Linked DNA regions of Caenorhabditis elegans. The protein of the gene in region 1 interacts with the protein of each later gene in a pairwise test. Each region holds a gene or a part of one and is shown on either strand. Other genes may lie near its edges. The genes, in order: F34H10.3 and T06D4.1.

Evidence for each region.
Region 2: the proteins of F34H10.3 (region 1) and T06D4.1 interact in a two-hybrid assay, tested with the Caenorhabditis elegans proteins (one large-scale study listed by BioGRID).

The regions. Positions count from the first base shown.
Region 1 is NC_003284.9:9,632,698-9,636,874, forward strand, and holds F34H10.3 (uncharacterized protein), read right to left. Parts: upstream 2,329-4,177; coding exon 1,780-2,328; intron 1,654-1,779; coding exon 1,546-1,653; intron 1,285-1,545; coding exon 1,195-1,284; 3' UTR 587-1,194; downstream 1-586. Other genes in the region: F34H10.5 (Mediator of RNA polymerase II transcription subunit 22), read left to right, coding at 3,188-3,229, 3,278-3,454, 4,086-4,177.
Region 2 is NC_003280.10:3,380,098-3,384,736, reverse strand, and holds T06D4.1 (Type VI secretion system protein TssA), read right to left. Parts: upstream 2,902-4,639; coding exon 2,809-2,901; intron 2,764-2,808; coding exon 2,503-2,763; intron 2,460-2,502; exon of another isoform or gene 2,305-2,459; intron 2,262-2,304; coding exon 2,160-2,261; intron 2,112-2,159; coding exon 2,034-2,111; intron 1,986-2,033; coding exon 1,908-1,985; intron 1,859-1,907; coding exon 1,763-1,858; intron 1,714-1,762; coding exon 1,495-1,713; intron 1,448-1,494; coding exon 1,352-1,447; intron 1,303-1,351; coding exon 1,096-1,302; intron 1,046-1,095; coding exon 950-1,045; 3' UTR 720-949; downstream 1-719.

The DNA.
Region 1 (4,177 bases):
TCATCGTCGATTCTTGCTATCATACCTAAAAATGAGGTAATAAACGTGGTTAAATTTAAAGCGCTAGTGTTGTATTTGTAAAAAACCCTACTATGGTGCCAAAATAACCTAATATCACAGCTAAACTTTTCAAAAATTGTTGAAAAAATTTTTATGGACAGTCAAAAGTGACACTTGCCACTTTTTGATAAAAATATAGCACTGTCGCATGTTCTAATCCCTACAATGTTTGAGCCTAAATATTTGAAACGTAAGTAGAAAAATCGAAGATTAAGATTTTAACAAGATTTTTTTTTGTTCGGCGGCTTCCAAAAAGTGTCAAAACTGTAACTTTGACAATTTAACAAGTTTTTAAATGTTTAAATATGACATTAATATGGCATTTGGTCATTCTGGTGCCACATGCATGTTTTGCAGCAATTTTCCCAGTGGCGCTACTACACCTTCAGGACTAATGATTGTATTTTTGACAGCAACAAGCAACTGTCTGCATTGTGATTTTGTACAATTATCTCCAGTATCCAAACAATTCAACATTTAATTTGATTCAAATTTGCATAACTTTGATTTCACAATATCTTGTTTTCCGTTTAAAATTTATTGTTCAAATATAATAATTCGAATGATAGAAAGAATGAATGGAATTAAGTGATTTGATCACAAAAAACATTATCCAATAAATCAGGAACGTATAGATTTGGCAAGCCGGATTTTTTCAATATACAAAATAAATGTGTTGGGAGTAAAAATAGAGTAGTTAAAACCGAGGGTCTACGGAAGGAATCACGATATAAAACTGCAAGGGGAAATTCACAGGACATTGATACAATGATATCGTTTGTTATTCGAAAAGCTAGGACAGAGATGAGGAATTTAGATACAAAAATACAAAAGTAGAGTAACTGAGGGCAACTAAATTGTGAAAAGCATACAATGATATTTTAATTTGAGAGAAGCGTAGAGGGAATTAACTTTTTGAATTTACGATCAACGTGTTCAAAAAGCAAACAATGTACAAAGATGTCGGATTACATTTTTGATTGGATAACTGATTCCCTTTTAAAGTGGAGTCGGAATCACGCGAGAAACATTTAAGGAGAGCGTCAATACTTTGACAAAAACAGTGGTGTGTAAGTCAAAAATTTGGTTATAGATTCTTGTTCAAATGTACACTTTTGTTATGTTACGAGATGTTTAAGCAATGCTTACAGATGAACGACGATTCAGAGTATGGATGAGCTCACGATGATAATCGATGCGTTCAGCAAACATTGGTGCAAATACCTTAAAGTCAATAAATTCATTAATAAGATTTAATTGAAATTGTCTACACATCTTAATCTGTGTAAAAAATTTTATTATGCGTAGTTATTCCTGTACAAAATTTCAGAGAAAAGCGGAAACTTCTATTACATCAGTTATGAATTTCAAATTTAATTCAGTTTTAGAATGATTTAGAATTTAGAATAATAAACTGAACTACGTTTAATTTACTAGACAACACAGCACGTTTATCCGGTCACAGTTTTGAAAAGTTTTTTTTACCTGGAACTGCTCATGGGTTGTAATTTCGTTGAGACGAGACTTGAAGTCAGAAACTTGGCGTCCAAAAAGCGTGAGATAGGTCACCGATTCCTTGCCTTGCAAGCTGGCCTGAAACAACGGAAATTGACAATTTTTTAGGGAACGCTGGCATTTCTGATTTTCCCACCCGCAACACGCATTTTCTCCTTTTCCAAATACGTGGAGTTACCATTTCCAAACTTCCTCCAAACTTACGCGAGCATCCAATGTCCAATCAGCCATTTGTGTGAAGTACTCTAGCTGAGCTCTCTCCGCCACTGACAACGGGGATAGACGATTGCATTTAGCTGCTTCTACCAATGCTTCGTAATGGCGACGGTGTGGGTGTAGGAGCATTTGATCATTCAGTTGTTTGCGAAGATGACGAAGGATATCTAATTGGATATAAGACCGGTATTTTACTTGTTGTTCGTGATAGTGAATGAGGCTTTGGATTTGTTGAAGATGTTGGCACTGTTGAAGAGGTCCCATCTCAGGAAGTGTCGGGCGTCCATTCACAAATGTCATTGCTTTCGGACGACATGGTAATCCATTATGTCCAAGCTTCGGGCTTGAAAGTTGTTGGATAGTCTGCAAGACTTCCACTGGCATATACTCCTCCACTTCTACTTTTGCAACTTTCTCGGGTGGGCCTTCAACCTCTGCGACCTCAGTGTTTATCGTGAGCTTTCTAGTAAGCTTTGGCGATTCCTTTGATTCAGCATCCTCGATATTCTTTGTTAAGTTTTCCACGGTGTCGGTCATCTGAAATCAAGAAAACTTGGGCTGGGGATTATGAAGGCTTTGAGCAAGTTTAAGTTTTACAAGAAGAACTTATTAAGAACAATAAATATTGAAGCGGGGAGCAAAGTGTACAATTAAATGAAATTTTTGGATTGATCCTAAAATAATTGATACTCGTATTTTGTTATAACATGAGCTTTCCCACACACAAAAAGCCAGCTACCGTGTACAAAAGTTGTATCTGTGCTTGGCTCCTGCATGGCGCTGAGTGCTACCCGGAGCCACTTCTAAGTCCACTTCTGTCTTCAGCCTCATCTTACATCTCATTGCGTTTTCAGAAAATTTTTCTTCTCTTCAACACCACTTGTGCTGTTTCCAAGGCTTCCAGCGTGTACTTCTTATTTCGATTCTAGACATAAACTTTCTTCAATTTCACCCATACACTCCTCCAACCCCTCTGCGCTTCAATATAATTAGTTTTAGTTCGGGTATTCGCTATATGGAAATTGATGACAGTTTTCATATCAAGGAATTGAAGTTCACTTACTCTATTCTTATTTTAATGGGGATGATGTCCTGTTGGAGAAGACAAACGAAAAAACACGAAATTGGTAAGCTACGTGGACGACGGCGGAAATTTTTTGTGTTGATAGTTGTCTCTATCACATAACTAAACACATTCGTTTTCATTCCCATCAATACAATTGAAAACGCGTTCCTATTCAGTTAGATTTTTCACTCATAGTTACTTTCCTTGAAAAAGTAAGTTCGTCTGTTATCCCGAGGTTAAAACTGAGTTCAAGGGAAATAATTGTTAAATGTCGATGTCATCTATTCTTTATTTCTAGAAGTGCATCCATCTCCACGGAAGATCAGCGACATGTATGAACCTCCTCGTCAAGTTCTAGACTATCGTCACATTGTGAGTACATGTTGAAAGCCAATATTTATATATAATTACACGTCTTAGGAACAAATTAACACTGTGATCTTTCACTTTCGTGAGCTATCCCGTCAGGTGACCATGCAACTAGGAGTGGTTCCCAGTTCGGTTATTGCTGAACTTCGTGGTCTAAATCAACGAATTGTTCACGCAATTGAACTCATCGAAGGCGACACGGTTCGTAATGAACGGGCTCCATTTGAGGTAACAACCGGATTGCAGATAGGTGGTCTAACATAAATGAGAAGGGGTGACGGATGACTACTGTTGCGCAACAAAGCCTTATTAAATATGTTTGGAGTCTGTTCAGAATTCTGTGAAAACGAAATTTCTAAAAACAATCTCTAAATTTTGACAACGTTATTTTTCCCTATTAGAATTGCAATATTGCTCAATATTGTTTTCTATTGGGAAATTGAAGGGCAAGATTAAAATACTTGTTACATCAATCACTTATTTTGAGTGAAAGAGTAATCGGCTATAATTTTTTTTAATTGATAAATTTTAAAACGCTTAAATTTTAGTACTTGTTCAAAACCAAACAAGGTAATACGTCAGAAAATTTGTAAACCTTTTAGTAATCAATTTTAAAACGGTTAAAAATATCAATGTACTTTTGTGATTTCATTGATTGTATTAAAAAAGTTTGCAAGACTAATGAGAGAGAGAGTGAGCAAATCCTTGTTGGGCTGCAAGAATATGCCTTGAAATTCCACTTGAGTGCAACCCTTAATAGAAAAATATGCTATTTCTTGGAACCTTATTTTTGAAAAAACGGTACACCAAAATTGTGTTGCGAAATAATTGAAACACTATAAAAATTACGTTCTTTCAGGCGAAATTGGAGTTCTACCACCAGGAATACGAGGAAATCAAAGTTCTATTCAACGAGCTTGAGAGTATTCTCAACAACTCACCGTCACTTTC
Region 2 (4,639 bases), on another chromosome or scaffold:
GCTCCTTCCAGCTAGGGGATGGCTCCGCGAATGGATAACTACCGCGAGCCGGATCGTCCGCAACGCGTGGATCTTCCGGGTCCAGAGGTACATTTTTCTTGCATCTCTAAGGCTACTTTCTGTAGAAGTTTGCCAACTTTCTATGAGACGTTGTCGACTTTCTGCCGCTCTTCTCCACTTTTCTATCAAATATTATCGACTTTCTGTCGAACACTGCCAACTTTCTGTCCCAAATTTTCTAAGTTAAGTCGTACACTGCCAAAATTTTTTTTGCAGGAAGATGATGAAGACGACGACGTCGACGAAGAAGAAGATAACGAGGTTCAGGGCCCAATGGAAGTCCGTACACTATGGGGCAGACTCGACAGAGCGACGAGAGAGCTCCACAATCTTAAGAGAGAGCTCACACAACTGCATTCTGAAAATCGCCGCTATCACCATGCGGAATCGTTTTTGAGCCCTTTGGAGAACCTATTATCATTTGTCGAACTTCAAACTTTCCAGATTTTGATTTTCGTTCTCAATTTGGAGCCTCTTGCTTTGCTCGGGGAGCTTCGAGTCCCGCAAGTTGGCCAGGATCGTTTAAAGTCAGCAATGGTGAACATCAGCCGCCAAATCTCAAAACACAAAGATTTGATTGCAATGATTTGGCGTCGGATTCACAATCGTCAATAATGTGTTGCTTTTTTTTTTTGTTTTTTTCTTCTCGAGTAAGCTTTAAAGATATTTTCTTCTTATTGAAAAGTGAGAGAAAGTGCGACCAATCAGCAAAGTTAAAGGGCTTGTCATTGCCTCCAATTCAGGGTTACTGTAGGGATACTTAGAGTTTCAAACTTTCGTTTTCAAAATATTGAAAATATGTTTTCAACTGATAGGCTAAAAATAGTTCAAAACTATTGAATACTTACAATAAAAATACACACAACAAATAAAAAAGAATAATTTTAATTTATTGATTGCCGCCTCTTTGCTCATCTTGTTCCGGTCCTTGTAGACAGTGTTGGAGGAAATACATCCATTGCTCAGCAGTCGGAAGCTCGTCGCTCTGAAATTGTTAGAAGTAGATTTTAAGGTTACAAAAATGGAGCTACATACCTTAGGCTTTTTTGATTCAAAGAGCTCTTCGGCGTATTCACTCAGCTTTCTCTTGATACCTCTGGAACGTTTTGGTGGTAACGCTGGAGCTTCTGGCGCTTCGGATGCTCTTGCTGATGCTTCTGCTGGTGCTTCGGATGTTTCAGCTCCATCACTTAAGCGATAAAATATGCGAGCTTTTTTCAGGAACGGTGTGATATTGGGCTTCTGAAAAGGAAAGAAAATTGCTATAGGGCTTCCTGGGCGCCTAACCTACCCCGTCTTTGACTCCCATCAACATTTCAGTCATTGTATCCGTCACTATACCAGTCACACATAGAACCTTATCCGGAACATCGAACATCCTCATTTGCTGTAATTTTTGAAATTCTGGTTGAAAACTGAATGACCGAAACTAACCGAATGCCAAAGCTTTTCCAATTGCGCCAAGCGTTCACGGAAGATATCGAATTGAACATTACCAAACACGGAATGCTGGTCTCGAAAGTCCGCAAAGAGTGTCCGTTTGGGATCCAAATCACCTGCTTCATTTTGATCCCGAATCGTGGCCCAATAATCGTTAATGAACGTGCCTCTTTTCCGACTCAACTCGTTTGCGAATGATTCCAACTCTGCAGTCTGAAAGGGGGATTTAGTAAACAAGTTGAAGAGTTGTTGAAATCCTTACCCAAGTGGAAGAGCTAGTCAGCATCTCAATTAAAATCCGATAGGCAAAATCTTTCATCTCGGGGACGGGATTTCCATACAGCAGGCATACAATATTCTGAAATTTGAAATTTGGTTCAGTGAGTCTTTCAACGACGGCAACCAACCTGTTGACACCATTGCCGTAGGAACTCGCTTTCCCGTCTCGCTTGAAAACTATCAATGATCAGGTGGATCCTAGTAGCCTGGAAATTTAAATTTAAGTTATTAGAATCCAGCATTCTAAAGTATACCAGCGCTTGTCTTGGCACGAAAGTCTGATCATCCTCTGGAACAACTCGACAGTCTCGGATCAACTCGTAAAATTGATTCTGAAAGTAGGAACTATTGACGAAGAGCAGGGATTTTGAAGTACCAACCATAGCTGAATCATCGATGCCTGCAGGAGTGTTAAATGCGGGATCCTCGGGAGTTCTGGCGAAAAGTTCCCTGATCTCGGCGAGTTTACCCATATCGTTGCTCTGAAATACGATTGGTTAGGAACGTAAATTGAAGCGCTGAAACTCAGGAAACCCCCTGCAAAAGGTATTTTCAACCAGGCAAGGAGCGGATGTCAACTAGCAAAAAAAGGCCAGCAGCGGGCAATTGGCGGGCTTCAACGGGCAACTATCGAGCAACTATCGGGCAACTCTTGGGCAACTTTCGGGCAACAGCGGCGACTATAAAAAAATTGGGCTAGATGGATCTTCTCCCAACACATACCTCCACCAGCGTCCTACAGATATACTGTAACAAGTTCTCATTGGCAACTTCTTGATCGAGTTGGTGATCCTGCCTCGCAGCTTCAATGACTTCATCAGGTTCTGTGTTGAGATATGGTCGCAGGGATCCTCGTAGAAGCCTGGCCAATTCGGTAAGAAATGGGCTGTCCGGTATGGGTAGAGCAGCGGCCACCTGTGGAGCTTCTTCTTCTCCCTTGGCTTCTTCTCGATCAGCTTGCTCTTCTTTTGGTTGGCGTTGTGCCTGAAAAATGGGAATTTATGAAATAGAAAAATTGTTAAATGTTACCTCTTCTTGGTTGCCCTCTAGTTGCCGAGCAGCTTGATTTTCCGATGGGCCTTCCATCGCCCGTTCCTGAGTGGTATTCGGGTCGTCGGACATCTAAAAATCAATAATTTGATGATGAAATCGAGAAAAAACTAGGAAAGCTTGACGAAAAATGAGGGGAAAGAACAAAAATCCAGTGAGAGTCCAAGGAAACACAAGAAAACAAAATTCGGCGCCGGGTAGGTCAAAAAAACCTGGTAGGTCAAAACTCAACTAGACTAGCCTAGAAAAAGATAATACATAGAAAAATTGTACTAGCAGCCGACACTCTTCCTGGTCACCCTATGTGTTTGCTCCGGCGTTAACGCTCAGCGTTCCTTAACTTCAACAACTCAACAAAGGCTCATAACAGAGTGAGATTTGCCCCGTTCGGTTCGAAATTTTCTGGGCAAATCCGGGAAATAATTATGCAAGCATTAACAATGAAAATTTTATTAACATAATCCCAGTGTCTGTGCTTTTGATTCAAAAAGAAATTTAGAAAAATTATTTAAGAGCCACCGATTTCTGGAGAAGAGGCGCCAGCACAGTTGGATCCATTTCAGCAACATTGCATGCCATTGCCGCTTTGATCTCATCCATTATATTGATTTTCGACAGACATGATTTCTAAACAGACTGATTAGGATTGGAGGCTCAGCTATGATCCTTACCTTCAAGTTATCCAGTTGGTATTGCTTTGCAATCTTTAACTTTTCCCTGATTGATCTTTCAGAAATTTTGATTAGGAACTCTTCACATCTCCGAATCGCAGGGGCATATTGTACTTCTGAGCCAATTTGAGGATTCCGTCAATGTTCTCTTCTAGAAAAAATAGAAAATTTGAACTTTCACATGTTTTCAGTTTTACCATCAATAGCAGGTTCTCCGTATAGAACCTCCAGGAGACACTGAAAATCGGTAGAATTGATATCGGAGAGTGTGATTTCTGAATTTTCAGCTTGTTCGAAGTCGAAGTCTCCGAAGAGGAGATCCTTGAAGTAAGTTGAGTGAGCAGCGAGAAACTGAAAAGCATTTAAAATTGAAATTCAAAAGCAAAAAATGCAAATACCTTCTTGAGAACGTAGAACTTTTCATCTCCAATTGCTATAATCGCATCAGAATACTCCTGAGCCGACTTCTCGAAGCTTCTAAGCTTCATCCTAGGGATCCCAGTCATCGCTTTGATCATGACGGCTGCTTCCACAATGATACTATCATCAATTAGGTATTCCTTCAACAATGTCTCCCAACTAACAACCTTAGACCATCTCCATGCGGGTATCATGATGTTTTCAAGTGTAAAGTCAACTTTGACCCTACGACTCATTTGTTTCCCATTTGAAGTTTTAAGAGTTAATTCGAATTCCGTATCAATTGCACAAATTTCATCATTTTCCGTCAATTTCGTACAACGGAGGTACACATCTAAATGATCATCTTCTCGATAAAGTTGCAAGTCCCTGAATGTTCATTTTATATTCATTTTAGTAAAATAAAACCTATTTACCATGGAACATTGAAGTGATCTTCTTCAGGGCTTAATAGAAAATTACCGTTTTCCAATTTTGATACATCTGTGAAAATGTGTGAAATCTCAAATTCCTTTTTAGCGGAATTCATTGTCCTGCTGAAATTATAGAGTTAGAAATATTTCAAACAAATTGGATAAAAAAGCAGTAAAGGAGTTTCTTAAAAAATCAATAAAAGGCAAACGAGTAGTCTTGGAGGAGAGAGAATGAGCTGAGAAATGGCTGAGCTGGTAGTCAGCTGGTAGTCGAATGTTATCGATCCGTAGTTGCAGATGACGCAG